4 linked regions of the Mus musculus genome follow. The protein of the gene in region 4 binds, or shares a complex with, the protein of the main gene of each other region. Links are inferred from orthologs where the notes say so. Each region holds a gene or a part of one and is shown on either strand. Other genes may lie near its edges. The genes, in order: Wnk3, Cul3, Wnk4 and Klhl3.

Region 1 (7,819 bases), on a different chromosome or scaffold from region 4:
ACCCTGGGGGAAAAACTGTTAAAGAAGGGGGAGCACACACAGTATAGAAACATGGATGTAATCAAATAACTGAAGAGGAGTATTTGCAGGCAAACTCATATATTCTGGTTAAGTTCAGTATTTTAGTTTATAGGGTATCTTTGTAACCCTTTTGTAAGTAGGAAATCACCTGAAAATCAGTTCAAAAAGAAACCAAGGTAGTAAAGGAGTAGCACCTCTGTTTCCTTCTGCTTCTAACCCTCTCATTTCCTTTAAACAAACCCATAGTTAAAACAGCCCTTTCATCTTTCTGCTAACTCCAATCGCCAAGGCTTGTTCATATACTAACTATACTCATTCTACTCTAGGCTTTATGAAATCTGTCTGTGTCTGCTTTTTCTCCCTTTATGTGTTCCTACCATTTAGTATAGGTCTGGCACATTGCAAGGAATGTTTGTTGACTAACCAAAAAAAAAAAAAAGACAACTGTAATAGGTCACATCCATTTCCTATTGCTACAGTAACAAATTAGCATAAACTTAGTGGATTAAAACACAGATGTATTATGTTCCAGAAATGGGAATCAGAAATCTACAGTGAGTCACATTAGACTAGAATTCAGACAGCAGCTGTTTCTTCTGGGGACCCTAGGCAACTATTTATTTCCACGCCTCTTCCAACTTTCTAGAGGGTATCTGCATCCTTTGGCTTGGTGACCTAATCCTGCAACAGCATCACTCCAAACTCTGCTTTTATTCATAGATCTTTCTCAAATGATTGCCAACCTGCTTTCCTCCTTACAAAGACTGGTGATTAGATAAAACAAGTTAAATTCACTATTTCCATCTCTAACTTAGCCTCATTAGCAAAGCTAGTTTTAACCAAGTAACGTTGAAGCCATGGCATCTTTGAGATGTCGTTATTCAGCCTACTACACATATCAATTTCTTTCTCTTTCTTTTTGAAGTCAATTCCACAAATAACTAAAAATAACTCACAAAACTATTTAGGAATTAATGATATTTCCCAGACTAGACTTGTCCCTTTCCACCATCATATTTGAGCAAGCTTCATCATTCCTAGATTCAAGAGAATCTCTTTAGCCCTGGGTCTACACTTAATATCGATGACTGGATCTGACAAAGACAAAAGGAAATAGAACTAAATAGCATTGGGATGAGCTTTAATGGAATTAACCATATTCATTTTATTGGTGGCTTAAATAGAATCTAGAAACATTTCTGAAAAGGTAAGAGAACTATTTTAGAATCAAAATTAAGTGTCCTACAGTGAATATTTTAAAAAACTGCATTTTTAAGAAATAAGATCTAGCATCTAATTCAATATTTTTCTGCCTCAATCTCCTAAATGCTGGGGTTAATTAATGCTTAACCCTTAACCATGAATTTTCGGTTACTTCTTCTACTTCTACATTATCTTAAATATAATAATATAATAATCACTACTATAATAAAAATACACATACAATGCTCACTCAACATGTTAACCTGCTATAGTCTATTGTGCCTATTTTCTCTTGCTGGTGGTTTTGCTTTGTTTTGATTTTCAGTAGCATCTTTAGTTCACAGACTCTAGCTGGAGTTGCTAGATGTCTAGGTACAACTTCAAGGAGGTCCAGGTCTAGAGGTGTAGCTCTGCTGGCAGAGAAGTTCAGCCCCTGAAAATCAAGTAGACTGGGCATGGTGGTACATGCCTGCAATCTCAGCACTTGGAAGTGGAGGCAGGAAACTCAGAAGTTGAAGATCATTCTCAGCTACATAGTGAAGTTGGGGCTAACCTGAAATATATCAGACCTTATCTCAAATAAAATATAATAATCTTCCTATACCAAACTCTTAAGATTAAATTTTAGTCTACCCAAATAGCAAACAATATAACTTTATAATGGGTGGAATCTGCGATATTTTATAGGCACCATTAGAATTTAAACAACAACCTATCTGTAGTGGCTATCTTTAGTCAATCCTAATTTTGTGATTTAGGGGTTTTTTGTTGTTGTTGTTATTGTTATTGGGATTTTTTGTTCTTGTTTTGAGGAAGTGTCTCATGTAGCCCAGGTTACATATAGTCAAGAAGGACCTTGAACTTCGGATCTTCCTGTTGTCACCTCCCAAGTACTAGAATTACAGACATGTACCACTATCCTCAGTATATGTAGTGCTAAGATTGAACCCAAAGCTTTGCTCATGCATGCTAGGGCAAGTACTGTACCAAACTGAGCCAGATTCCAAATCCCAATCTTAATTTTAAGCATCCCATATGAATGCTGATACTTTTTTCATGAGTTGGCTGAGGTCTCCTTATATTTGACCTGTATCTAGCTGAAACTATTGTCATTCTAATACTTTATATCTGATGCTGTTCTACCCCTCCTTTGTTAATAGTACTACATAAAACTGTCTGCTTGAGCTGACTCGCTAGCATCTGCAGATTCTGCTGATTCCACTTAGCTGTAATTTCAAAGGTATGAGGATAGAATAGCAAAAGAAGTTTTCAAAGAGTCAAAAAGTCTCTTTCCTGTTTGTAAAAATATCGATGAATTTCACATTTTTGTAAGAAAAAAATAAAGGTAGATCTCATACTAAATACATTCCTATCATACATTTAAATATGGAGTGTAACAATCAGACAAGATATATACACTCAATTCTTAAAATGAGATGTTAGTGAGAATTGGGGGAATTTCCTAAAGCTAATAAAAAATTTTTCCCAAAGAATGACACAACACAGACTTTTTGTTCTTAATGCAGGAAAGGAAAGCAAAGATGGCAAGTGCCTGTGACTAGAGAGACAAGTCCTACTATGACTAGAGAGAAACTAGAGGGACTGAGACAGAAAGACCACCAGTCTGAACCCAGCCTAGGCTACAGAGAGAATTCAGGGCCAGATTGGGCTATATATCGTGTATCAAAATAAATGATAAATGGAAAGCAAAAATTAGTTTTATTACCAAAGGCTGGGTATTTTTATAGCTCACTCGTAGACTACTTGCCCAGCACATACAAGACCCAAAAGTTGATCTCTAGCATCAGAATATACATAAATGAATGAATGAATAGAGGAGAGGAAGGGGTATAATTCATTGGCAAGATACTTATATAAGGCTCTGAGTTGATTCCCTGCACTGCAAAATTAAGTTAAAGGCAAAACTGGCATGGAAATATATCTCAATGGTAGACTGTCTAGCTTGAAAAGGCTCCTGATTCCATCCTCAGTGTTGCCACAAAAGAAGAGGAGGAGGAAGAGGAAGAAAAATAGAACAGTGAGGGGAAGATAATTTTTAAAAAGCTTGGCATATATTCCTAACAAGAGCATAATTTCTCAGTGATGGTAGAAGGGCTCTTTACGTCTTCATCCGGATCATTCTCGCAGTCCCGGTAGCTAAATTTGAAATTCATAAAGCCAAGAAAATTATATACGCACCTGTAGCTCACACCAAGCAACTTCAACCCATGTCTCAGTGTCCAATCCTTTATATACCGTTTTAAATGCTCCTCTTCCCAGCTCTATATCGAATTTCAGGAACCTGCCACTAGGGGAAGTTGCAACAGCCTTCATTTCTGCTTCTTCTTCCATTTCCTTTTCAGTTTTCTCCTTGAAGCAATCTTTTGAGGATTCTGAGGTTGCCTTTGAACATTGCTCATATTTAACTTCTTGCCCACCTCTTAGCACATTTGTAGGAACTTTATCTACTCTTGAAATATTTGTTGCAGCTTTTCTTTCATCTCTGCGGGAAGATTCGGCAACTTTGTCATCTTCTGTCATCTCAACACTCTTTCGGAAAAACCTCTTTCTTTCGATGTTTTCCCCGGAAGCAGAAAAGGTACTGTATTTTTCCTTTATTCTCGCTTCTACAGTCAGAGGGGCAACAGCCCGGGCAGCCCTGTTTTCAAAGGAAACTCCATCAGGCTTCTCAGAATCTTCTGTGCTAGCTGGCTCCCCAGAATCAGTGGCCATTGTAACTAAGGTTGGCACTAAATTTGTTCTTGTTTCACTCTTCAGTCTACTTACATCTCAGGTATGAGAATTTTCAGAATGTACTTCCTTTTATATGGTCATATATTCCCATAGCAACCTGAAGAATGGAAAAGAGATAGTTTTAAAATCATACAACAGAAATCATTAAGGAAAAAACAAGTCACGGGATTTAAACTTTCTTAATAAAAAGTTTATTCTTGTTGCTGTACAACTTAGCAACTAAGATAGCAGGGACTAAGTATGCGTTATCATTTTTAATATAGCTACACTGACTAGTAAACCACTTTGCATACAGCTCTTTTTTATTGGATATTTTCTTTATTTACATTTCAAATGTTATCCCCTTTCCTGGTTTCCCTTCTGCAAACCCCCTATTCCATCCTCCCTCCCCCTGCTTCTATGAGGGTGCTCCCCCACCCACCCACCTACTCCCATTTCACTGTCCTGGCATTCCCCTACACTGGAGCATCAAGCCTTCACAGGACCACGGGCCTCCCCTCAGCTGATGCCAGACAAGGCCATCCTCTGCTACATGTGCAGCTGGAGCCATGCATACAGTTCAATATGTCTTCATATGCAGAAACCTAGTTCTCAGCTCATCACAATCGCCCAAATTCAATACAGGTGCCCAAATCCTAAATACACTTAGCCATACATAAGTTGAGTAAAAATACCACATGTTTTCCAGAAGAATTTTGCCTAAGATTCTGAATTCACCTGATACTAGTTTCTTTAGTTTGTGGTCAAATATATGTAGAATCAAGTTTACTATTTTAACTATTTTACATGTAGTGCCCCATAGCATTAATGCATTATTCACAATGTTGTGCTATCTTCACCTCTTACAATATTTTATTATTTGTGTGAGATAGCGCTCTCCTACTTTCATATGAGTTCCTGGGACTAATCTCTAGCTGTCTGCCTAGTAAGCACTTTATACACTGAGCCATCTTGCTGGGCCTATCATCACTTCAATCCATTCCCAAAGCAATTTCATCATCTTAAGCTGACAGTTTATATTCATTATAGAAATTGTCCTATCCAGCTGAGTGCAATGGAATGCACCTATAGTCCTAGTTACTCTGTAAGCTGAAGGTAGAGAATCACCTAAGAATCACAAAAGAAACATACCTATTTTTATTCATGTACATATGGAAAATAAAAGTTGGTGTGCATTGAATTCTTTAATTGCTCACCATATTTTTGAGACAGGGTCTTACTATTTAGTCCTGGCTGCCTTGAACTATGTAGACCAGGCTGGCTTTGAACGTACTTACTATATTGCCATCTTCTGTGATATAAAGAAAGCAGCTACAACACTACTAATTAGGAATACAGGTAAAAAGCTTACAAAGTTTCAATGTACTACTTTGCTCCTTTTTTTTTTACATGTTTTGAGATTTTTCAAATTAAAATATTTCAGAAGGCTGTGGAGATGGGCCTGCTAGTAAAATGCTTACTTGGCAAGCATGAACGCCTACATTTAGATCCTCAGCACCCTTGGAAAATCCAGGTGCAATAATGTATGCTTGTAATTCCAGTGTTGAGGAGCCAGAGACAGGAGAATCCTTAGGATGAGCTGGCTAGCTAGCCTAGCCAAATCAGTAAGCTTCAGGTTCAGTGTCTCAAAATATAGGGTGGAAGGCTGGGTGTGGTGGCCCATAGCTTTAATTCAAGAGCTTTGAAGGCAGAGACAGGCAGATCTCTGCCTTGTCTACATAGTTACTAGGTAACCAGGTCTACATAGTAAGACCCTCTCTCTAAAAAGGTAGTGAGCAATTGAAGAAGACAGGTTAAGATACAGGCACAGGCATAGGCATGCACTTTCTGAAAAGGAGCTCAATAACACAAGAAATAATCCAAGAATTTATAAATGACATTGCATGAAATTAAAAAGCTCTGCCCAGCAAAGGAAACAATCGCCAGGTCGAAGAGACAACCTACAAAACCAGAAAAAGAAATCTTTACCAATAACACATCATACAGTAGAGTAATACCTAGAATACATAAAGAACTACAAAAATACCCAAAAATCTAAAGCATCCAATTAATAAATGGGCTAGTGTGGACAGTTTTCAAATGAATACAAATGGCAAATACATGAAAAAGAAATTTTGATATCCTCAGCAATCAATGAAATATCTATTAAAACTACACAATCTCACTCCAGTTAGAATGTTATCATAAAGAAATTAAATGTTGGGTTGGGCATGGTGTCCCATGCCTTTAATCTCATCACTTGTTAGGCAGAGACAGATGGATCTCTATGAGTTTGAGGCTATCCTGATCTACACAGCAAGTTTCACACCAGGCAAAATTACATATTGAGACTACCACCTCACACCAGTCAAAAAGGCTAAGATCAAAAACTCAGGTGACTGCCGGGCGTGGTGGCGCATGCCTTTAATCCCAGCACTCGGGAGGCAGAGGCAGGCGGATTTCTGAGTTCGAGGCCAGCCTGGTCTACAAAGTGAGCTCCAGGACAGCCAGGGCTATACAGAGAAACCCTGTCTCGAAAAAACAAAAAACAAAAACAAAAAAAAAAAAAACCTCAGGTGACAGCCCATGCTGGTGAAGATGTGGAGAAAGAGGAACACTCCTCCATTGCTGGTGGGACTGCAAGCTGGTACAACCACTCTGGAAATCAGTTTGGCGGTTCCTCAGAAAATTGGACATAGTTCTACCGGAAGATCCAGCAATACCATTCCTGGGCATATACCCAGAAGATGCTCCAATATGTAATAAGGACACATGATCCACTATGTTCATAGCAGCCTTATTTATAATAACCAGAAGCTGGAAAGAATCCAGATGTCCCTAAACAGAAGAATGGACACAGAAAACGTGGTACATTTATACAATGAAGTACTATTCAGCTATTAAAAACAATGAATTTATGAAATTCTTAGACAAATGGATGGATCTGGAAGATATCATCCAGAGTGAGGTAACCCAATCACAAAAGAACACACATGATATGCACTCACTGATAAATGGATAGCCCAAAAGCTCAGAATACCCAAGATACAATTCGCAGAACACTTGAAACTCAAGAAGAAGGAAAACCAAAGTGTAGATACTTCAGTCGTTCTTAGAAGGGGGAACAAAATACCCATAGGAGTTACAGAGATAAAGTGTGAAGCAGAGACTGAAGAAATGACCATCCAGAGACTGTCCCACCTGAGGATCCATCCCATAAACAACCACCAAAACACACACTATTGTGGATGCCAACAAGAGCTTGCTGACAGGAGCCTGATATAGCTGTCTCCTGAGAGGCTCTGCCAGTGCCTGGCAAATACAGAAGTGGATGCTCACAGTCACCCATTGGATGGAGCACAGGGTCCCCAATGAAGTAGCTAGAGAAAGTACCCAAGGAGCTGAAGGGGTTTGCAGCCCCATAGGAGGAACAACAATATAAACTAACCAGTACCCCCAGAGAACCCTGGGACTAAACCACCAATCAAAGAAAACACATGGTGGGACTCATGGCTCTAGCTGCATATGTAGCAGAGGATGGCCTAGTCAGTCATCAATGGGAGGAGAGACCCTTGATCCTGTGAAGGCTCCATGCCCCAGTATAGGGGAATGCCAGGGCCAGGAAGCAGGAGTGGGTGGGTTGGGGAGCAGGGGGAGAGTAGGAGGGGATAGGGTGTTTTCAGGGGGAAGACAAGGAAAAGGGATAACATTTGAAATGTAAATAAAGAAAATATATAATTAAAAAATAAAAATAAGCCGGGCGTGGTGGCGCACACCTTTAATCCCAGCACTCTGGAGGCAGACGCAGGCAGATTTCCTAGTTCGAGGCCAGCCTGGTCTACAAAATGAGTTCCAGGGCAGC
Region 2 (8,043 bases), on a different chromosome or scaffold from region 4:
AAAAGGAATAAAGAGATTATTTTATTTATTTATTTTACTTATTTTAAAATAAAAATTACCCAATAACATGGAAGTCTATCTGCTAGAGACAGACCTTTCTGAGAATCCTAAAAAAAAAAAAACACATTCTAAGTTCTCCATATTTACAATATAAAGAAAAGTAGTAATATTTCCAGTCATAATTCAATATCCTTCCTGAACTGACCAAATGCTATTACTATTTCGACTAACAAATGACTGTTTTATGTGAATGATTCAACTTCGTAAGGAATGTGCTATATGTGAAAGGCCAGACTTTCACATTATAGCCTATATTGTATAAATAGGCTTTAAAATTCATGGAGCTGGAGAGTGGGTCAGTGAAGATGAGTGCTTGCTACATTAGGATCTGATTTCAGATCCCAGCACTCATGTAAAAAGCTAAGCATAGATGTGTGAATGGATACCTGTAACCTCAGCTCTATGGAAGGCCAAAGGATTCCTGGGACTTGCTGGCTGCCAGCCCATCTTCAGGTTCAGTGAGAGAACATATCACAAGGAAATAAGGTAGTGACAGACGAGGACACCCAAAGTTCTCTGACCTCCTCAAACACATCCACAGACACACATACCCACATCACACACAAACATAAGTTAATAACAGACTCCTTTCTCACATGCATGCATATATCCATACATAGAGTCTTCTGAACTGCTGTTATATCTAAAAGGACATTGTTGAGTAGACTAGAGCAGAAGAGCTGACTAAGCACAATGTGTATTGCTCTTGCAGAAGATCCCAGTTTGGTTCCCAACAACCAAGTCCTCAGTTCTCAACTTCCCATAGCTCCAACTCTAGGGGATCCATTACCCTCTCCTGGTCTCCATAGGCATCTATACTTATGGGCATAAGCACACACATATAACTAAGAAACAAAGTAAGCTACTTGAGAAATGGCTCAATGGTTAAAAGCACCTGCAGATGGCTCAGAACGAAGTTCCCAGAATGCATATGGTGGCTAGCAACCATCTGCAACTCCAGTTCCAGTGGATCTGATGCCTTCCCCTGACATCCAAGGGCAACAGGCACATACATGATGCAGAGACATACAAGGAGGCAACAACACTCATGTACATAAAAAAATTTTAAAGATGAAAATTAATATTATGCTTTTTATTTCCTTTTTCTCTTTTGCTTTCTAATTTCTAAAGCAAGGAAACATTAACTGCTATTAAGTCGAAAGCATAAGTCTCAGTGTAAGCAACATTTTGATACACCTTCCTACATAATTTCTCTGTAAGAAACAGAGGATGAAAATAGATTTACAGTTAATTCCTGGCTTTGTGTGAATAAACTGTTATTCTCCTATATATACAGTCCAGATACTTCTCTGTACCAAGTACCTTCTCCAGGAAATAAACCTATCATGAAGATCAAAGATGTCCCTTAAATCTGGCAAATACTTTTGTAGCTAGAAATAGAAGAAACATCAACTATATACCCAAGTCCTCATCTCTTCATGCTCTAATGTCTGTCATGAATGATCTTAACATTTTTGTCTGTCACTTTGTAGGCACCATTTGCTGACCATGTTGCACAGGTGAAATTCATCTACAATCATGGAGATTACATCAAGAGTTGTCCCTGTTATGATTTAGCAAGCTGTATAAACTATGAACTGACATTACTTCTAGAACTCCATGGTAGCACTTTTAAGAGAACGGTCAGAAAGTAGAAGTGATTTTCAGTGTCTCCTAAATCTAAGGATAGCATTTTTATTCAAGAATCACATGTTCAATTCCAATCGAGCCTGTTAAAGCCCATGGGAACAAAAATTCTGGACAATACGACGAGGAATGGCTTTTCAGAGAAAGGTTAACTCAATGGACTATACAGAGCTGAGAATGTATGAATTAAAACATGTGGAAAAAGGAAAATATCTTTTCCAAAGGAATTACTTAGCTCAAATCCATACACAACCAAACTCCCTTCTTATTAATCTTCTGTAGCTCCAACTTATAGTTTGATAAGAATTTCAAAATATTATCAATAGGGGCTGGAGAGTGGTGCAGTGGTTAAAAGTGTCCCTTGCTCCAGCAGCAGACCAGAATTTTGGTTCCCAGCATTGGAATGGGTAGCTCACAAGGGCCTATAATTCCAGCTCCAGGGTATTTGACTCCACCCTCTGCAGGTACCTTCAGCATTCATATGTACAATTGAACACACGCGTAATTTAAAAATCTTCTTAAAATAATGACCAACAGAAAGATGTATAATAAGCTATACGCTACATAATGAAGGGAAGTCTAAAAATTAAGGGATTTTTTCTGACAACAGTTAAAAATACAGAAAAATTTGATCTTGTAAATAAATTTTGTAGGTTTAAACTGAGGGAGGGGAAAAAACTTAAAATATAAGTTAAGCTAATGTGGTGTAACTTTTATTCTGCTTAAAAATGTGAAAGCAAACTTAAAATATGCACTAAAAATGTAAGAGAACCTGATTTGGTAGAACTTTAATAAAGTACTTTTTTGATAAAGTACTCATCTATATATGAAATATATTCTGTAAGTTAACTTACCACTATTGTACAATGAAAAATCAAACAAGTCTAAACTTACTTCATTCCTTTTATACATCCATTTTATAAAAAACCTGAAATGAGCAACTGCCATTACTTATAGCTAACTACATATCCACATAGTATAACACATAACAGTTGTAGGAATACACACATGTAATAAACATAAATGGTATTTTTTGTGTATGAAATACTATGTATTTTAACTTCTAAGAATCCAAGTGGGTTGTACTTATATACAAGACATCTAATCTGAATGAAAGCAATTCTGACAGCCTAATGGACTCACTTCCCAGAACTCAATAAAATATCACTGGAGCATTATTTAGCCTCAACAATAGCCAATTATTTCAATGGGAACAACTTATGGTTATTTACTTATGAACTGGAAAACAAACAAAAAACAAAACAAAAATCTCAGTTTTAGTACTAGCCTATCACACACTAATACCATCTTCATTCAGCTAATGGTACAAAATTCTCTTCCTGCTTCTAATCCCTAATGCTAGCTCCAGAAACCACTGATCTTTTCCTTTTTCACATCTACTGCTAAGTCCTAAAGCTCTAGGAATAAACAGTGCCTGCATACAGTACTCAGTATATGGGGAGAGGAAAACAGGTTCAAGTAGAGAAACCTAGAGGTCAAAGAGCTGCAAACACAGATAAAGGTAGAACCGGTTACTCTGAAAAATATTAACTGGTCAAATATAAGCTCTTTCACATTTTACTAAACAACAAAGAAACAACAGAACCAAGAGTAAATATTTCCTAGAAAAATCAGTGTCATAGTTGATTAAAAAAAAATTAAAACATAAAAAACAACCATGTCTGAATTCGCTTAAAAAAAAAGAGGGAAGGATGTGGATTTGACAATCACTTGGGTGGTTGATTAGGTAGGGAAATTATTCAAGTTCATAAACCTGGCTCACTGTCCAATTACAAAGGAAAACATAATAGTTACCTTTATTGGCACTGTGTTTCTAGCATTTCTCACTTTCTGGTGTAATCTCTTATTTACTTAAAAAAATCGTTCATAATGCAATTATTATTAAAGTATCTCGTCCTCCTGATTATACCCTACATGTTAACATAGAGCCCATTTATTTACATAAAGGTGCAAGTTTTTACATGCTGACAATATGTCCCTTGCAAAGTCACAATTCTGCATCGCTTGTACACTTCTTTGGGATGAGGAATTCAGAGGCCCTCAAGTTCTCCAAGGCAAAGTTACTTAACTCAGACAATACTATCGTGGTCTTTCATTCCTCACAGCAAAGGGTACTTCAGGAAAAGCCTGTTCAAAAAGTGATGACAAAGGCCCCCTTCCCCTCCCACACGACAGAATGCTTATGAGTCTTAGAAGGGAAAAACAACCTCCCTCCGTTTTACTTTTACAATTCTGCTCCACTGATGGCTTGTCTATTTGACATTTACCTGTCACTGTAGCGACACGAGCAAGTACGTCCAGTTTGTTACAACAGGACATTTTAATTGCCTGCCACTGGCTATCTGATCGAGGCATGACATCCAAAGTTACATACTACTCCATCTACTAAACACCGCAAGCCTATGACTCAACGTAACGCCAAGAGGAAAAGTTTCTGAAGAGCAAATGTTTGCTGTCGCTAAAAACGTACAAGGTAAAACAAGTCTGAGTGGCAACTATTCTTGGGGACCTCCTTGACTAAGACACGGAAAAGCTGTGCCTGGCCCTCCAAGAAGTGGAGGGGCGATTCTGAACCGGAGTGGGTCAAGCGCTTAGGAAGCTTTGCAGGATCAAGGATGCTATAAATACTATGCTCCTAGTGTTTTGCCAGTGGGCATTTCTAGCATCTCTGTCAGTGAGTGGGGCAGTGGGATGGCAAGACCGCCCCTGACTACGGAGTCGAGCAGAGGTGGACAGTCCTCCCCACCGCCGTAAAAGCCGAGCCGGCTCCTTCTGGAAACCGCACGCTAAAAGTTACACACACGCCCCACGCGACGGGTGCGGCGGCCACAGCGCGCATCCCCTCAGGGCCGCGGCCCCCGAGGCCCGAGCGAAGGAGGCCCCGGGGCGGCCGGGGCGCGGGGAACGGCCCCGGAGGTGGCCGACCCGGCCCCGCGCCGCCCCGTTGCCGGGAAGCCTCGCGCTCCGCCACCGGCGGCGGCCGTGGGGGGAGGGGAGGCCGGCTGCGGCCTGTTGGCGGAGTTCAGCCCCGGCCTCGCGTGCGGCTCCGGGCCGCGGCTCCCGGTCCCGGGCGCCGAGGACCGACTCACCGGAAAGGCCCGGATCCGCATCTTGGTGTCCTTCCGGCTGCCCGTGCCTTTGCTCAGATTCGACATGGTGCTCGGCCCCTCCCCGGCGGCGGCGCTGACGGCGGCGGCGGCTGCGGCTCGCACTCGGAGGCGCCGGTGTCACATTGAAGGCGGGAGGGCAGCCGCGGGGCTCGGCGGGGGGCGGCGGCGCGGCCCCCGGGCTGGGCTGGGCGGCGGGCCGGCCCCTGGGCGGCCGCGGCGGCGGGGGCGGCGGCTCGGGCTCGGGCGGCTCGGGCTCGGCCGGGGGCTGCGCTGGCGCGGCGGCTCCGCGGGCTTCCCCTCGCGCCGGGCTCGGCTCCCTTTATCGCGCTCCTCCGCGATGGCGGCGGCGGCGGCGACGGACAAACATCTCACTGCGCAGGCCGAACGTCCTCCTCCTCCTTCTCCTCCTCCGCCTCAGCGAGACGAGATCCGGCCCAGAGGGTGGAGGGGGGAGGAGGGAGGGAGGAGAGCGGAGAGTGGAGAGATGGGGGAGGGGGCGGGAGGACGGGAGGGGAGGCGGGAGGCCGCGGCGGGCACGTCAGATCTCGCGAGATCGGGGCGGGCGCGCGGTCGGGGGCGGGGTGGGGCGAAGCCCGGGAAGGGAGGGCGCAGGGAGAAGTGGGGTCTGAACGTGGTGGGGAGGGGGGAGAGGGGTGGATTAAGGAATGGGCGTAGTCAGCGCCCTGGGGGGCGGGGCCTGGTGCAGGAGACGTAGGCTGCGTTTTCAAAAGAGGAGCGTCGGAGACCCCAGTAGGCTGAGGTGGCTTCTGATTGGTGGAGCGCGAAGGTGGTGGGTCACGTGGGTAGTGGGCGGGGGAATTTCCGGAAGGGGGAGAGGGGAGTGTTGTGTTGTGGGCTGGCGGGGCTGAGCTTGGCCCTAGTAGGTAGGTAGTCCTGGGAAAGGGCGTGGGGTGCGAGGAGGAAGGTTCTACGTCCTAGAACTGCTCCTGTGTTTTTCTAGGGCACGTGGCCTAGGGATGGGTACTTGAGCCCAGCCAGAAACTTGAAAGCAGGGTTTGTGCTTGAGTTACCTGCAGACTGCGAAACCAGTGTCCTGTTTTTAGCTAGGTGTTGCAGCGCCTCAGAATCAACCCGGCCTTCTTACACTGTACAAGCTCCTGGGTTTGTTCATTAGTTGATACCTTCTGGAGGATCCAGAGCCCACTAATGTTAAAACCCGGTTTTTGTTTGTGCCGAAATAAAACAAATGCCTAATATACTACAATATTGTGTTAAACATACGACCATTTCCAAGAACAGTATAGATCATTAAAACCAAAAGCACTGTGAAATTAAGTTTGCTGTAGGTTTGGAGACATTTTTCTATTTGTTCGGGGACTCTTATCCTATAGTCGAAATGTCCAATTCGACTGCTTTTGGCTTCTAATTCAGTATGAATCCTACATCTACCTTGCATACTTGCTCATTTGCTGTTTCCAACGCCCCTGGGAAATCTGAGATTCTCCCAGTTTTGGATCTTCCCATTTTGAGTGAACTGTTGTTGGGATTAGCACCTACAATTGAAATTGGTGGCCCATGACCTTAATCCCAGCATTTGGGAAGCAGAGGCAGGTGGATTTCTGAGTTCGAGGCCAGCCTGGTCTACAGAGTGAGTTCCAGGACAGCCAGGGCTACACAGAGAAACCCTGTCTTGAACACCCTTCACACACCCCCGCCCTCCAAAAGGGAAAACTTGATAAAGCTTGTTTATTTATGGTTGAATTGACCCTAAATTATTTGTAATGACTAAGCTTAGAGAGTTAAGCTAAAAATAAAATATCAAGAATGGGTTAAGTAAAACAAGGAAGGGCTCTGATGAATATAGTGAGTGATGCATAGTTGTTTATAACTAGTATGCTAATTGATTGCCATTTCCATAATTATCAGGATATAAAACCTTTTTCTATTGGCTGTCCTATCATATGGCTCTATTTCTTATTACAATATACATTTTAAGCCATTGGCTTTAATCTAAGCTCTGCCACTTTATCAGCTTTCCCGAAAGAACTGCATGTTCTCTCTCATGAGAAAAAGCCAATAGTATTTGTAATATGCAGTCAAAGATGCATGTGGGTATGGAGAAAGAAGCAACCCTGGATATAAGAATATCAGGAAGGACTGACTTGACTGCAGGTAATGCACACAGTTATGAAGGAGGATTTAAAAATCTTATTTTTAGTTATAATGCTGTCATGGATCTTGTTTTGGTTTTTTTGTTTTGTTTTGTTTTTTGTTTTGTTGCTTTTGGTGGTGAATAAGTGCGTGAATAGTAAAAGTGTAAAATTGTAATGTGACACTCCACAGCTTCCTTTCTAAATGCCATGTTCCAGGTGTTTCAGAAGTTCATGGAGTCTTATGAAGGTGATGCTTTATTTGCAAGTTTTTTAAAAAATAACAAAAACTATTCTACATTGAAAGGTTTAGCCTTATGAAAATCAGTGCATTGCCCTAATCTTTCTCGTTTTTCCATGAACTTGGGAAACCACCCAAAGCCAGAATAGAGGAATTAACTACCTTATGACCTATTGCTATTCACTTGCAAAACTATATAGCTATTTTCATTTGTTTTACAAACACAGATTTCCATGTTTGTGTTACTTAAGCAAAATTTAAATGCATTTAAAAGAATCACTATCAACTGTTTGGATTTTAACCACCAAAAAACTACCAAAAAATGCTTCAAAATTAATCTCATTGAGAAATTTGCTGATTTGTCCATTCATTTGTTTAATCAAATATTTACTAAATTGCTAGTATAGATGTGAAGTACTAGAATAAATGAATGAGTTGAGACCCACCATCATAGAACATAAAAGTCCTTTTCTATATCACAAAATTAGGAACCACAGTCCCAAGTTGAACTAAGCAATAATTTTCTGTGTGCTTCACCTCAGAAATCAGAGATTTGTTTTCTTTCTTAGGGAAGCAGCATCCTCAAAAATATATATGAAAAGACCTCTATGTCAGTAGACTATTCTTTGCCCCATGGTGGTCCCTCACTTCCAATGAAGATGACCTTTCAGATAATTATCTTTTGTGCAAGCAGCCACCTTCCTAGCAGAGCAAGCACAGTGCAATGAAAACACACTAGATCTTGCATGCCTGACAGTTATTATTCCTACTCTTGCTGACAGTGTCCTGACACAGGGAAACAGTGGCCTCAGTTCCATTATCCAGAGGAGGACATGCAGTCAGGCAGGTCAGG
Region 3 (7,795 bases), on a different chromosome or scaffold from region 4:
AAAATGTCTCTGTGTCTAAAGGGTGGCTGTGGCCAAGCCTGACAGCCCGAATTTGACCTCCAGGGCCCACATGATGGAAGGAGAGAACTGACCCCCACAAGTTGTCCTCGACCTCTACATGCATGCTAAGGCACCTGTGACCCCCACATACATGTGCACAGTCACATACAAAATAAACAAGATGTCACTCTAAAAAGACTGACTCTTGGGTCGAGCTGGGCAGTGCTTTGGAGATTGCTTTTGTGCCGGGCGGTCTCACTGGCTGGCTTGGAGCTCACTGGCTGGAATCATAAGAGGTTCATCTACCTCTGCCTCCCAGGTGCTGGGATTAAAAAAAAAAATGTGACCCCCGGGGCTAGAGAGATGGCTCAGCGGTTAAGAGCACTGATTGCTCTTCCAGAGGACCTGAGTTCAATTCCCAACAGCCACATGGTGACTCACAACCATCTGTAATGGGATGCCCTCTTCTGGTGTGTCTGAAGACAGCTACAGTGTTCTCAGATACATAAAATAAATAAATAAAACTTAAAAAAAAACACAAAAAACAAACAACCATGCCTTCTAAGCCAGCTTCTTGACCCATCACATGTGACCCTTGACCTCGAAACTGCCACTCCTCTATTGAGAATCCCATATTCTCACCCCTCCTTCCATTCAGGTTCTCAACAAGCTCTCAAGGTTCTGCCCTGGCATCTATCTCCACACGTACCTTCTCTTCCACTAATCTCTGCCCATCACCTCCCCTCTCCTTTTCAATCAGCTTCGCTCTGGGCTTTGCTGGGTGAGTAAAAGGACCATCTGATTTCAAATCTAAAAGGCTTGAGATTACATCCCTCTTTGTCATTTGTTTTCTTAGGACTCTAGACAAAACTGTCAGTCTCTCTGAGCATACATTCCATTGCCCTCCCAAGAGGGTCACGTGAAAATGCTTTCTTTCTTTAAGTCACACGTAACATTAAGGAGCACCTACTATTGCCAAACAGTAAAGGACTGAGGGGAAAAAAAAATCAGTAAAATATTATCCAACCACGGATAGTTTCTAGTCTAGCAGAGGAGAGGGACGGGAAATGTATTCAGGTATGAAACAAAGCCCAAGATTTGAGGTTGTTATAAAGCCGCCCCCATCCCTCACCCCAACCCACGGATTTGAAAAGAAGCATTTAGTGACCGTCCTGGAACTGATGATGCTAAGCATAGACCGGGGGGGGGGGGGGGGGGGGCGGGGGGGACGGGACAAGAAGGTGGAGAGGGAAAAATAAAGAGATAAATTGCCAAGAAAGGCATTCTGTGATAAACGAATCTGCAAGGCAAAGAAGTGAGGTTAGGGTTTCCAGGATTTGTTCTCAAAAAAGAACCCTGGTGTGCGCAGACGGATTAGGGCGGAAGAGGCGGAGAGACCCCTGTAGGATCTACAGTTCTGGGTAGGGGGTCTCTGCTCACTACTCCAGAGCAGCACCCCGGTCCTTCCTGATGACTGATGGCAGATTGTCTATTACACACTCAAGCAAAGCAGGATCTATCTACACTCTCCTCACCATCTCCTGAGCCACCTCCTCCGCAGCGTCCCGGCCGAGCTGAAACAGGAACTCGATGGCCTGGTTGTCTCGTGGACGCCCCCCGCGCCGCGCATCCTCCATGCGCAGCCAGAGCTTGAGGCCCGGCTTCTCTCCATCATCTTCCTCTGCCAGCTCCACGTGCACACCTCGTTCCTCGCGGAAGAACGCATGGGCCAGGAGATCCTGGATGGTGAACCTGGGGACCGGCGGACAGTGAGCGGAGACCGCTGCCACTGCCCCATCATCTCCATCCCCTCTCTGCCCCGGACCCCACCTCTCGTTCTTATCCGTGCGGATGCAGCCTTCAATGATCTCCTTCACCTCTGGCATCTTCACCTTGTAGAAGCTGTTGGGCTTTGTGCCCTGAGAGAAGGGATCACATGAGGCCACGGGTTGCCTGCGACCCGCGACCCCATCTCAGCAAGTCTGCAGTGCTGGCAGGCGCCAAGGCCTGGGGGAGGTTGGGGGAGGATGCTGGTACTGAAAACTCGATTTCCGATCCCATTCTCTCCACATAGTGTTGGTGTGACCTTGGCCAAGACTGCCAGTTGCTTGTTCTCTCATTTGTAAAGCACAGGGTAAAACGTTTGCCTGGCTCACTTAGCCGGGCAACTAGAAAGATCTACTGAGATTGGCTGTGAAGTTATCTGTAAACTCTTTGGATTAAACAAATTCTTACCAGCTTGTGTGAAGGGCTTATGTGCATACAATACATTTCTGTTTCACCAGGGCATCTTTCTGTCTGGCCTGGTGGCCTGGTTTTATTAAAGATATATATATATATATATATACATATATATATATACACACATACATATATGTATATGTGTGTACACATATATACATTATTTAATATATGTACAATATGTAGTATATAATCTTAATATGTTAATATAATATGTGCTAATGTTATATATTAATATATGACCATATAAAGGGTACTAACTACATACAGACTAGTTAAAGCATAGAAGAGTGGGAGGGCCACTGGGGATTCCCAAACCCCACCCTTCTCACCGAAGTGACCTTGCGGTAGATTTGTGCTGCATTCTGACACTCGGAGTAGGGATACTCAGACGTAGCCATCTCCAGCATGCACATGCCAAAGGCGTACACATCCACAGCCTCGTCGTACTTTTCCTCGTACATCTCAGGAGCCATGAATTCCGGGGTCCCTATTGGACCCACAGAAAGAATCAGGCTTCTTCCTCCTGGTCTCCCCCCTCCACTTGGGTATATCATATGGGGGTCGGAGGGAGTCTTAATAGCCCAAGAGCAACCCCAGGGGTTCTGGAGTGTTGGTGACCAACTCTTGCCCAAAGCCTGTGTCAGGGGCAAGAAAAATGGGTCTCCCTAGATCAATAGCTCTGCTGGAGCAGTGTGAGAGGGGTCCCATGCTCTTTTCTTATGCAAAGAAGGTAGCAGTGGCAAGGGTCCTGCTGGAGAGACGCACCAATGACGCTCTTGGCAAAGGAGGCGCGCTTGAGCGTGGCCAGTCCGAGGTCTCCGATTTTGACAGAGCCTGAAGGGCCAGTAATGAAGACGTTGTCACACTTGAGATCTCGGTGCAGGATGGGGGGCACTCGGGAATGAAGGAAATGAAGTCCCCGTAGAATCTGGCGACTCCAGCGCTGAAGGACTCGGGGCTTCATTTCGCGGAACCGCCTCAGGTACCTGGGAGAGGGTGTGTAACCATGGTCAGGGCGGGGATATCTATTGGGACTGGAAAATTCCTTCCTAACCCATCCTTGCCACCACCTCTGCCTCCTCTGCCAGCATTATTTTAATTTAGACCCGTCTGGGTCGGAAAGAAACTGAATCAATGAGTGCAGTAAACAGGTTACAAAATGATTCTGATGGTAAATTCGCAGATAGGGCCGCAGCCAAGGACGGTGCTGTGGGAGCGCCGGAAGGAATGACTAACGGTCCCAAGAGTGGGGAAGGACTAACTTTTGTCTTGAAGGAATATAAGTTCAAGGGTGAAAACGGGGAGGGAGGGATGGAGACTTTCCAGGCTAGAGAGCCACAGTAGTGACAGTTCAGAATGCGAGGAATCACTGAGAATTGCGTTCATCTGTAACTTCTGCTCAAGAGGAGAGTGTGTCGTGGGGACTGAACGGACTTTACCCCCGGGGCAGTGGGAAATCTTGAAGAGGTTTAAAAGACAGAGTCAAAGGGTCAGGTCTCCCCTGGTTTACAGGAAGATAGTATAACTTGAAGGGAGGGCAGATTGGGAAAGGCCGTTTAGGAGGGCTGCTGGGAGTTGGGAGGGTGACAGTGGTGGAGCAGCAAGGTAGGGACAAAGATGGGCGGGGGGGGGGGGGGAGACGAGACCCAGTGCTAGGACTTATGAGACACCACTGTTGAGAATGAGGGTGCGGCAAAGACACCCAAAATTTTGACCTGTATGTTCGGTGCACATTGACATTCACACAGACTGGTAAGAGGGAGAGAGCCTGGTTTCAAGTTTGAAGTGACTTGGGAGAAGTTCCCAGAGCCTCGGAGTGATGTTCTATCCTCCCCCCTCCCACCCAGGCCAGAGCTCACGTCTTGAGCGTGCCCGAGGTCATGAGTTCTGTGACCAGCACGATGCAAACCTGGCCCCTCAGCACCGACTTCCAGGAGTCATAGAAGCGGACGATGTTGGGGTGCTGCAGCCCCTTGAGCATCTCAACTTCCTCGGAGAAACGCTGCCGCTCGGCCCGAGAGAGTTTCCGGGTCTGTGGGATGGGGTGACGGGGTCACAACAGTTCCAGACACACACACACCCCAAGAAGAGCATGGGACATCTGGGGTAGGGCTGGGGGAAGAAATGAGGGCGGGAGCGTACAGCTGGGGTATGGTTGGTGAAACCGCTAGCCAGAAGGGCTGTAGACCCCCAACTTTTGGCTGGTCCTTTCTTATTGCTCTAAAACGCATCCACCCTGGGCCTGGGGCAGCACTCTGGACCCCCTGCTGGACACAAGCGCCTTTATGCAACCAGGTCTGGGAGTTATGCACTCAATAGCGCCTTTGTGGCCTCCAGAGCCTACCGTGGAAGGGGCGGGGTGGGGTGAGGGTGTGTGTGTGGGGGGGGAGCAGCCAGCAGACAGACCAGGAGCAGGGAATTGGGGCCGTCAAGAGGTTGGCCCTAAAAACTAGGAACTGCAGAATCTAGACAGAGTCAGAGGAAGATACCAAGAAAGAAAAGATCCAGGGCCAGGAGGCCACCCGCCCCCCCATGGCTGGAGCTGCCCTACCCCTCTTTTTATCCCTCTCCCTCCCCCTCCCCTGAATCTGGCTGATTTTCCAGGCGGGGCTTAGAGCCTGGGACGCAGCACTAGCAGTCACTAGGAGAGAGCCCTATGCCAGGACCTAAGTGGAAGGATCCTTCCTCCTGGTTTTGTACCCTAAAATTTTCTGGGACCACTCACACTTAGAGTGGGAGCTCCGGGAGGAAGAAACTGCCAATCCACATCCTCCTGAAGTCTAAAAGTTGCAAGGGCTCAGCTCCTTTGGCAATGGAAAGGGAGACCCCAGGTATGCATAGGGATGAGAAGCCGGACTGGACTCCAGCTAGAACTAGAGCTTCCTGTCCTGCTCCTTGAAGCTGTTGAGAAATCTGTAAAGTTGACAGCTCCAGAAAGGGCCTGAAGAACCCGCTTCTGTCACAACTACCCTAAATCTTTCCGGAGGTGGAGAGGGCCTTGTCCTCAGCTCCTGAACTCCCACATACCATCTCTAAGTCTGTAAAGAGGGAGAGGAGGAGGAGGAGGAGGAGGAGGAGGAGGAGGAGGAGGAGGAGGAGGAGGAGGAGGAGGAGGAAGAGGGGTGGGTGGTCCAGAGTCACAGCGGAAAGTCTCAGAACTTGAAGGAACAAGAGTGGAAGGGGCAGGAGAGACTGGAGGGCTACCCGCTGCCCACCCAGTTTTCCAGCCCTCAGATTTGTAGAGGTTTGAAAGTGAAGTTGTCTATGCTCATTGGCAGCCACTATAAACCACCCGGCTCAGTTTCTCCTGAAACCACCCAGAGTCAGTACAATCATGCCGGCAAGGAAAGCAAGAGCGCCTGGACAGCTGACAAAAAAAGTGATCCTTCCTTTGATGTTGTCCTCCCGTTTCCCCAACCTAAGACCCCCAAAGGCCCCATCCCGAGGCACCAGAGAGGGGGTGCCCAGCCACACCTGCAGCTCACACCAGGCCACCTCTACCGTGGTGTCGGTGTCTAGCCCTCGATACACGGTCTTGAAGGAACCTCTTCCAATCTCAATGTCAAACTTGAGGTATCGGCCGTCCGGAGACGTTGCCACAGCCTGGGTTTCTGTGTCCTCTTTTTCTTCCTGCTCCCGCCGCCGTTCCCGGGCTGCAGCATCAGGAACCCTCGGTGGCTCCCGGGACCCTGGACCTCCTGAAGATCCCGTAAGCTCAGGACATGCAGAGTCCACAGCCTTCACGGGAGCTGCCCCCATCCATGTGCCCTCGGGGGGTTCTTTAGAGCTTGAAGGTGGGCTCCTCGTGGGGCCAGCGGAGTCTGGAGGATCCGGGGGTTCCGGAAGGAGTGAGGCTGGTTGAGACCAGGAGCTCAGCAGTCCCAGATCGACTGAGCTGCGGCGGCTAGGTCTCGAAGAGCGCGGCCGAGGCTCAGCCTTCCCAGAGAAGCGGCGCACTCGGCGAGGAGGTGGCCCCAGGCGGGTCGGCCCCGTAGAGGTGAGAGCCGGAGATGGCCGCAGAGCCAGGTCAGCCTCGGTTTGGGACATGGGGACCCCAGTCTCCGTATTTCGAGGTGCTAGCATGGGAAGGGCCAGGCGCCGCAGAACGGAAAGCCAGGAGGCTGGAGGTTGCTGCCTGACAGGCAGACCGGCTGGGTACACCGCGCTCCAGCGGAGCTGCTGGGGCCCCAGCCCCCGACTGGCCTGCCCCGCGACCCGCCCCCGGCTCCGCCCCACGACCCGCCCCCAGCCGAGACCGGTCCTCACCCCCCAGGGCCACCCCTTGTGAGCCTGGCGAGTTGCAGTGTGGAGCTGGGGTACTGCCCCTCATCTCGACTGCTGCTTAGGCCCCCGGCTGCGTGCTCTGCTTTCCAGAGTCCCCGCCTTTAAACCTTCCCGGCAAGAGCTGAGTGAGTGGGAGGCGGCAGTGGGTAAGCTCCCGCACCAGGAGAGGGCAAACACATTTGGGGTGGGGGAGTTGGAGAACACTGGGACGGGAGATGAAAAGTGACCGCCGCTCCTATGCCTCAGCGAGGGGGAGGGGCACCACCAGCCTGCACACCCTTGATAAGGCAGCACTACCAAGTCCTAATCAGGAGTAGTAGCCCCAGGCCTAACATCGGTGTTGGAAAGGTATGGTTTTCTTGGCTCAGCTAGGGCCCTGGCCTGCACAAGGATGGGTTGGGTATACTCCAGTCAAGCCCCTCCCCCACCACCCGGCCCTAACCAAGAGCTTGTCACCCATCAACTCCACCCCACCTTGGCCTGAGCCTGGCCCTGGCCAGAAAGGCTGTTTTTGCTGTGGGCTCTTTCCTCCCCTTGTGTTTGCCAAAGTCTTCAATAAACCAAAGTCCACATCCGGTTTACCCCCCCACCAGCTCCCCTTGGCCACCGCTACCCCACCCGGACCATCATGGGTAGAGGGAGGGGCTTCAGAATAGTTCAGGACTTCCATGGGGGAGCAATTAAGTGACTCCAATTCAGAGAGCAAGCAGCCTGTCCCCAAGCTATGTCCCACCCGAACTCCTCCACACGACCCACCCAGCACAGCACATGGCAAACCACAGGCTCTCAGGAGCTCCCCCCCCCCCCCAGGCCTTTCTGTACAAAGGCCAAAGGATTCTTCTTTTTCCTTGGCTGAGACTCAGTCAGGTGGAACTCTGCAGCGCCTTCCCTAGTCCCAGTTCAGCAGTAGTAACAGGCCGACAGTGGGAGTAGAGATTTTAATATCATAAATCAGAGTGGGCCCGCCTCTCACCACCAGGCCCCTTCTGGGGCTTCCTATCTTCATACTGCCTGGCCGGCTGCCTGCAGCCAGGGCTTCCCCCATCCCTGGGGAGGATCCAGCACCAGCCTGAGAAGGGAGGCAACAGCAGCTAAAGGAGTGGGAGGAGGAGAAAGAAGCTTGTGCAGGCGCATGTAGGTGGGTGTGTACTTATGTGTGAGAACACATGTAAAGTGTCAGGTTTATAGACCCTGGCTCGGGGACAGTATAGGATGGGAAAGGAGGTAGGGCAAGAAACGCATCCTTTCTCCGTGGCACTGTGGGCTT
Region 4 (7,330 bases):
TGTTCAGGACACAGGGAGAGCTACCTACTCTGGCAATCCTGCCCCTCTTCCTATCACTCAGAGCTGGAGGGAAGAACTGTGACCCCCGCAGGAGAGGAGAGGAGAGCAGTCTCACGTTACCTGCGTTGCGCCGGCACATGTTCATGTCTGCCACCTGCTTCCAAGTGTTTGTCCCAGGATCGTAAACTTCAACACTCTTCCTCACCAAGGGTCCGTCATGTCCCCCGGTGGCATACAGCTGTCCGCTGAGCACCCCAACCCCTGAAAGGCAGAACACAGTGTCCTGGCCTCAGGCTCACTATAAGAACCAGCATCCAAGAGGCCTCAAGCCTGGATAGTCATTGCCAGCAGGGAGACTTAGGGAGCAAGTGCTGTCTTCCTGGACCTCATTGCCCTAATCTGTAAAATAAATGTGATAATCCCCTGCCTGGCTCCCCATAAGACAGGCAGCCTGCAAATAAGGAGGTTCAAAGCCAAGACCCTGTTTCTGCTTTTAAAATGTAAATATGTGTGTGTGTACATATACAGGGGCATCAAAGGGATTTTTCAAAAGGTTCAAAGAAATCCACTGAAATGTAAAAAGATGCTAATTCTCATCAGAAAACCAGCCCCAGTTACCCTGTGGCATATTCATATTGCCTTGCTTTTCCTCTGCATCTTATTATTCGGTTGTATATCTGTTGAGACAGAGCCAGGTGCTGAGGTCATTGCTAGGGAGACTCCCTGCCAGCCTGTTCCTCCAGCCCTTCTTCCCCTTGATGGCAGAAGGCATCAGATTTGTCCTGGGGGTGGGGGGGGGGAGGAGCTGAGCAGTTCTTCACTGCTGCAAGACTGAGGAGATTCAAGCCATTCAGGAAGAGAGAGGGCTAGTGAGGGTGGCTTGCCTGGCAGCTGGGACACCTACACCTGCCTCTTCAACACCCGCTCTGGGTGGCCCTTTCTCTTTCTCATTCATGGAGAGAGGGAGTTGGAATGTACCCATGATTCTGTGGACTATTGCCTTCGGTGGAAAGACTGCATCCTTTCTGCTGGGTACTTTCTAGAAAAATAAAACCTTAGTTCCAGAGACACTGGCCAGAAGCCCAGTGGGGTATCTCAGTGAATTCGATGTGCAGCCAGGCTGTGGGTCTGGGGCTGAACCCGGAGGCTATAGACTTCATGAGGTCAGGAACTGCTTGTGTTTTGCCCTGGTCTATTTCCCTGAGGCTACTGGTGATGGGCTCCTGCAGATACTATCTAAATAACAGGATGTCATGTAAAATCCCGGCCAGAAATTATAGCGGGTTGCCAGTGGTTCCTGGCAGTTGCTCTAAACTAGCAGCAGATGGTGCTGTTGTACCAACAATGACCTGTGTCAGGTTGTGAGAGTCTGAAAATTCAGTAGTTGCTTCACCTTCTCTTCCTCCAGGGTGAGCAGGAGCTGACACTTCTGGGACCCTGAGATGGTCTCTGCCCACCGTGTCCATCCCTCTGCTTATGCTGTCCACTCATAAGGGAGCTAAGAGCCACCTAGACTTTCCCCCAGCAACTCTCCCACAATCCTTGGTAGCCTGCTCATAGACTCTCACATAGAATCCGACGGGCCTCAGGGAGCTATGACACAGAGCCTTCCGTCTTTAGGTCTTTGGCTGTCACCAGCTCCCAATGAGACAAGTACACAGGCTCCTGGTGCTAGTGATGACACATCCCTAACTCTTTATCAGAGTGAAGCACTGAAGAAAGGGACCCGGGAACGGGGTTCCGTCCCAGGACAGGGCTCCGTAGTAATCTGAACAAAGGGCTCTTCCCAGCAAAGGTCTGGGCCTCCCATAAATAGAAGCAGCTGTAATGGCATTGTCTGGGGCCTCCAGCCAAGGATGGGCCAGGTGACGTCCACCCCAACCACCGCCACAGGCCTTTAGCACTTGGCCCAAGTCATAAATGGATTTTTAGGAAGTAAATAGAAGGTTCTAGAAGCTATAATTACTAAACCATCAGGAAAGGGGGAAAATGTCACAGGATTTATGGATGGAGCTGGCCCTTTGGGAACATGGGCAGCCTGTGCACTGGACAGCTAGGGTGTTAGATGGCAACGATGGGGAATGGGGTCGCCCAAGTTGACGTGGCAGGATGGGCTACTGGACTAAGTGCCTGGACTTCCCCCATGAGACAGAAAAGGGGGTCATTATCTCTCCTCGGTGGAGAAAAACAAAGCAAGAAAATGTGGGTGTAGGGGATCGAGGTTTATCTCCAGCCATAAACACTGCTATGCCAGCCTTTACTCCCAAGACGTGGGCTTCAGGCAGGCCAGCTAGGCTTCTTAGCTAACGCCAGGGCAGTAGAACCTGTCCTCCCTCAGGGGAATAAGGCTCATTATTAGACGGCTAGACACAATTACCTTGGAAAGAGAATTCTAACTCTGCAAGCCTTCTATTCTACGACCTTGGGCAAAGTGATCCACCTCAGGCCAGACTGACTTTCAAACTCTGGTCAGAGGAATCAGCAGTGGTGGACTAAGGTGAGAGGAGGAGTGGGTGGGTGGCGGCTAGCCTGGGCCATGGAGAAATTGTCTCAAACAAACACAAAACGGGGCAGTGAAGATGACACGCCTTCCATGTTGAGCAAGGAGTCCCTGGGAAAGTCTGGTCTGTGTACATGTGTGCGTGTGTGCGCGAGTGTGTGTGTGTGTGTGTGTGTGTGTGTGTGTGTGTGTGTGTGGACATGTAGTAGCCAGGTTACTTACAACTGGAGGAGAAGAGACAGGATGAGGGGAAACAGGCACGGTTCAGTGGTTGGTCTTTAGTCTCAGCCTGTAACCCACACACACTCCACCCCACCCCCATGCTCTCCTGTGCCCCAAGGCTCTCACATACGTACCAGCGCCACTGCGTCGGGTGCTCATGTCTGCCACGTATATCCACTCGTTGGTGGCTGGGTTGTACTGCTCCACGGTGCTCAGGCACTGCCTGGAAGCACCATCGTAACCCCCGACGGCATACAGCTTCCCTGGAATAGACCAAGTGACTGAGATTGGTGTTGGTGGCACTGACACAGAACCGGAGGAGCTTGGCTGGTGCTCCATTTTTAACCCACAGAGGTACCTCTGTCTCAATCATCCAGAAGGACCCAGCTTGCTCTCCACACACAGGGCACATCTCCCCCACCCCACCTCCACCCCGCCACATACCCGCCTGCTCTGAAGCCCTGAGATGCTTAGAAGCAATGTTGAAGCTTCCTAAAAGAGGCCCAGGTACCCAGCACAGAGCACCCACTTGGCATCAATGGGGTTCGATATAGGCTTGCTTGAGGAGCTAGGTTAAAGCACACCAGCAACGGGAGCTACAAGGCTCTCCACCATGACCACACATCAGGCTTTCTGGACATAGGCTCATACTGACAAGTGAAGAGGATACAGAAGAATATTCTTCCAGCCCCACCCACGCCATAAGGGAAGCGCTCTGTGTGCACCCAGGGCTGAGGCAGCTGGGATTTTTCTGCCGGCCAACTTTGTTCTCTGAGCTGTATACAAGAACCCTGAAGTATTATCAAGTATCCCTCAATAAAAATAAGGCTGACCTCCCGTGGGAGAGCCATTTCCATCTGGGGCTGGGAGCTAGGCGCTAGGTGCAGTAAAGAGAGGGGAATCATTATCTGACCTGTGAGGACAGGGATTCAAATATATGGGGTTTAACATTTAGTCTTAGATACAATAGGAGAGTTCCTATCTGCGGGGACAGGGAAAGAAGCCCTACTTCACCTATGGATATCAGATCTACAGGATATCATGACACCAGCCACAGACCATATTGACACTAGCTGCAGGCTAAATAAGTACAGGGTTTGAATTACTTAATCAAGAATTTTGGGTGAGCCATTAAATGAGTCCCTAACGTGGAGGGTGCAACCAGGATGTGAAAATTCACATTCTCGGGCCCAAAACAGCGCTATACCATCAAGGCTACCAATCCAGAAATCCTATATCATTGAGCTGTGTTTTTCTCCAAGTCTTTTCAGCTGACCTTTCTGAAAAAGGACTCATGCACAGCTCCTCACTCACAAGGTCCAAGCTGACAAACAAAATCCCCCGGGGCCACCTCTCCGTGTGTGCCAGCTCAGGTGGTCCCATCTCTGTGATTCTCTGCTCTGTTGGGCATTTCTGTCTACACTCCAACCCACACCTCACCTTGTCCTTATGAGGGATTCTTCTAAGCTGCAAGTAGCTAATTACCCTGTAATTCTTAAGGGTCATTCAGACTGCATAGCCTCGGTAGTGTGAGGATGTGCCTGGAGAATGGGCTGTGTGGAAAGCTGAGTCCTTAACCACTATGAAGCACAGTCCACTCCAGTGCACCCTGCACATTCTTAGAAACACTTTCTGCCGTCATGAGGCAGCACACAGCCCATAGAGCGTCAGGTGCAGGGTGGGCAAGAGAAACAAACTCCCAGCTTCCCTCTACACCTGCAGGGCAAGCCATTTGCCTGCCCTTCTGTAAGCAGACACACTGACACTGCCCGTGTCACGGGCAAGATTTCCAATCTCTACCATTGAGACACCTCCGCTAACCCTATCAGCCATTCGAATCTTGTATCAGCTGAAGCAAGCAGGCTCTTCCTGAATGTGCATGCTGTTTTTAGCTGCTGGTCTGTTGGCTGCTCCTGGCTGAGGAACGAGAAGGGAAACGAAAAGGGAAACAAGAAGCCAGCTAGACAACGCTCTTGGATGTGGCTGACAAATGAACTTGTATCTCTCCAAGAGGATACAACTTATCCTGATAGGGGGACAGAATCCTGGCCTCTGTGTCAGGACTGAACTCAGAAACTTCTACCTATCAGCAATTGAGACCTGACTCTGGCTCCAGATTAGGAGTCATAAGACCTTGAGGACTTCTCTGCTATTTACTATCATAAGACAAGGACTCGGTTTCCCACTGAGAAAAATCGGAGTCCTGCCTGTGTTCTTCCAGATGGCTTGAAAGAATGAGTAAAAGAAAAAAGATGTTTTACGAACTTCAGGGAACGCCCTCCTGCCTTAGCCACAACCCCATACTTAGCCTATCTGGGGACATGTCAGACCTGAGAAAAAGAAGCCCGCATTTCTCACATCCCTGCTAGCATGCAACACATAATAATTATGCAAGCATAATTTGTACCCCTCCCTGCTACAGTGTACCCCAGTTTGTATGTTGATTCTGAGCTTCCAACATCCTTCCCATCCCCCACTGTTAGCAGAGATACAAGGGACAGGCTGTCACTTTCCCCCAAGTGTCCTCTTTCTCCCCCAACCTGCTGACCCCCTTCGTAGCCTTGGCTCAGGAGTTTCCCCACCCAGTCTCAGCCCTCCTAGTCTGTTTACTAGAGACAATGAACTTAACTCTGGTCAGTGACCTTAAGAGTGGAGCCCACAGTAGAGGGGGCATCAAGCACAATACTGGACTCAGGACAAGACCCACGGGCTAGGGTAGGAGCAGCCACCACCCTCTGCTACCTCCTTACCCTCCACAACACCCACTCCCACGCTGCTCCGCCGTGTGTTCATAGGGGCCACGAAGAACCACTCATTGGTCTTGTAGCTGTAGGCTTCTACGGATGCCAGGCCTGGGGAGAAGAGAATGGTGGGATTTCTACAGCCATGGGCCTCGCTATGACGTGTGAGGAATGCTGAGACCAGGAAGAGATGAGGGCAGGTCTACAGACTCCATATCTAGCTTGGTACACCTCTGCCTAGTGTGTGGCCATGGTAACTCCTCAATCTGCACAAGGTGACCACTGACTACCAATGGTTCTGTGACATACAAGGGAGCTGGTAAGAAAGCTAGGGGTATGCCCTAACTGTACTATAGATACGAGCCATTAAACTTACAGAATGGGACATTTGATCCCAAATAAACGCCCCATGATGCCCCTACTGGGCACCAGTCCCAACCCCCTTCCCGTGTCTTCCTCTATTTTACAAGCTAGATGGCTAAAAATGTACCTCCCAAGATCCCATGCAGGTAGGTGACCCTGAGCCCTAGGCAGAATTCTGACGAAGATTTCTGGGGTTCCCTTGGCATTTCTGATGCAGGGGTGACCTCTTTCCGCTTCTTGCTACTAGAGACACAAGCACCCTGGCTGGAGTCAAAGCAAACTATATTGTGATCATGGGAGAAGCCCTGAGGATCTTAAGGTACTCTGCCCCAGTATCTGTGTGCAGTCAGACCAATTGGGAACAGTGACCCCTGAATTCCATGCTTCGTCTCTGGAGTAATACAGCAGTCAGCCAGGCTTTCCCCTCTGCCGAAGAAGTTCCACTGCAATAACCATCTATGCCCTTCTTAGCTTATGCTCACTGAGGAGCTGTCAGAGAGACGTTCAATAAAGAAAAACAAAACAAACAACACTGCATTTATCTCCCTCAGAGACAGAGACTACTGCTGTAGATGGAGTCACTGTCTTCGATAAACTGCCTGGCTCAGTATCCTGTCTGGTGACGTAAGCACAGATGTCCTCTCTCCAAACTCACACCCACTAACACTTCAAATTGAAATGTTTACAATTGTTTCTTATGTGTGTGAGTGTTTGGCCTGCATGTATGTCTGTGCACTCCATGAGTGCAGTGTCTGTGGAGGCCAGAAGAGGTCATCGGATACCCTGCAACTGGAGTTACAGATGCTTGTAAGCTGCCACACGGATGCTTAGAAATGAATCTGGGTGGCACATGCCTGTAATCCCAGCACTTGGGAGGCAGAGGCAGGCGGATTTCTGAGTCCCAGGCCAGCCTGGTCTACAGAGCAAGTTCCAGGACAACCAGGGCTATACAGAGAAACCCTGTCTCGGAAAGCAGAAGGAAAGAGAGAGAGAGAGAGAGAGAGAGAGAGAGAGAGAGAGGAAGGGAGGGAGGGAAAGAAGGAAGGAAGGAAGGAAGGAAGGAAGGAAGGAAGGAAGGAAGGAAGGAAGGAAGGAACCTGGGACCTGCGGAAGAGCAACCGATGCGTGCATTCGTTCTCTCTCTCTCTCTCTCTCTCTCTCTCTCTCTCTCCAGGTCCCAGGTTGAAAATTTTGAAGTGAGATAAAATGCGGGGGTGAGGGGCCCCTGAGCAGTGATATAGCCTGCAGGGCTCTATGGGACAATAGAAAAATTGATGGCCAATCGGGGTGCAGTGCCTGCTCTGAGCCAAGCACCTTAGGCCCCAATCTTAAGGTCCCTCAGCTGCTCTGTAAAATGTTCAGACTAGAATCCTGAGGCAGATCCCATCAGGGCAAACCCCTTCCTCTACATGATGCTCTGAGGAAACAGGCTAAGTGTGGGGAGATAAGGAAGGGACCCTTCTGCGTGCGGGGGCCTCCTCAGGATGTATTGTGTCACAGAGTA

What was found.
Region 1: the proteins of Klhl3 (region 4) and Wnk3 are in contact, whole or in part, in a crystal structure (PDB 5NKP), measured with the Homo sapiens proteins. The link is inferred for Mus musculus from reciprocal best matches to the Homo sapiens genes KLHL3 and WNK3. Residues at the interface, in NP_059111.2 of Homo sapiens: Lys312, Arg339, Phe355, Gly357, Arg360, Thr386, Phe402, Gly404, Ser405, Gly407, Ser432, Ser433, Tyr449, Gly451, Arg454, Cys456, Ser481, His498, Arg528, Tyr577; in NP_065973.2 of Homo sapiens: Glu537, Cys538, Glu539, Glu540, Thr541, Glu542, Val543, Asp544, Gln545, His546.
Region 2: the proteins of Klhl3 (region 4) and Cul3 are in contact, whole or in part, in a crystal structure (PDB 4HXI), measured with the Homo sapiens proteins. The link is inferred for Mus musculus from reciprocal best matches to the Homo sapiens genes KLHL3 and CUL3. Residues at the interface, in NP_059111.2 of Homo sapiens: Pro73, Tyr74, Ala77, Met78, Asp82, Met83, Ser84, Glu85, Glu92, Ile93, Lys94, Asp95, Pro125, Ser128, Leu129, Gln131, Met133, Arg136, Asp160, Val161, His162, Thr163, Thr165; in NP_003581.1 of Homo sapiens: Ile44, Asn49, Ser50, Gly51, Leu52, Ser53, Phe54, Glu55, Leu57, Tyr58, Arg59, Tyr62, Thr63, Leu66, Lys68, Met118, Asp121, Ile122, Met124, Tyr125, Arg128, Val129, Gln133.
Region 3: the proteins of Klhl3 (region 4) and Wnk4 are in contact, whole or in part, in a crystal structure (PDB 4CH9), measured with the Homo sapiens proteins. The link is inferred for Mus musculus from reciprocal best matches to the Homo sapiens genes KLHL3 and WNK4. Residues at the interface, in NP_059111.2 of Homo sapiens: Arg339, Phe355, Gly357, Ser358, Leu359, Arg360, Thr386, Phe402, Gly404, Gly407, Ser432, Tyr449, Gly451, Ser481, His498, Arg528, Tyr577; in NP_115763.2 of Homo sapiens: Glu557, Pro558, Glu559, Glu560, Pro561, Glu562, Ala563, Asp564, Gln565.

The regions. Positions count from the first base shown.
Region 1 is NC_000086.7:151,194,278-151,202,096, reverse strand, and holds the start of Wnk3 (serine/threonine-protein kinase WNK3), read right to left. Parts: upstream 4,020-7,819; 5' UTR 3,958-4,019; coding exon 3,424-3,957; intron 1-3,423.
Region 2 is NC_000067.6:80,335,429-80,343,471, forward strand, and holds the start of Cul3 (cullin-3), read right to left. Parts: upstream 5,263-8,043; 5' UTR 4,884-5,262; coding exon 4,818-4,883; intron 1-4,817. UniProt on the Homo sapiens protein: Core component of multiple cullin-RING-based BCR (BTB-CUL3-RBX1) E3 ubiquitin-protein ligase complexes which mediate the ubiquitination and subsequent proteasomal degradation of target proteins.
Region 3 is NC_000077.6:101,259,204-101,266,998, reverse strand, and holds the start of Wnk4 (serine/threonine-protein kinase WNK4), read right to left. Parts: upstream 6,433-7,795; 5' UTR 6,328-6,432; coding exon 5,719-6,327; intron 4,277-5,718; coding exon 4,104-4,276; intron 3,231-4,103; coding exon 3,010-3,230; intron 2,732-3,009; coding exon 2,574-2,731; intron 1,920-2,573; coding exon 1,831-1,919; intron 1,753-1,830; coding exon 1,536-1,752; intron 1-1,535. UniProt on the Homo sapiens protein: Serine/threonine-protein kinase component of the WNK4-SPAK/OSR1 kinase cascade, which acts as a key regulator of ion transport in the distal nephron and blood pressure.
Region 4 is NC_000079.6:58,010,974-58,018,303, forward strand, and holds part of Klhl3 (kelch-like protein 3), read right to left. Parts: intron 5,575-7,330; coding exon 5,473-5,574; intron 2,986-5,472; coding exon 2,857-2,985; intron 262-2,856; coding exon 121-261; intron 1-120. UniProt on the Homo sapiens protein: Substrate-specific adapter of a BCR (BTB-CUL3-RBX1) E3 ubiquitin ligase complex that acts as a regulator of ion transport in the distal nephron.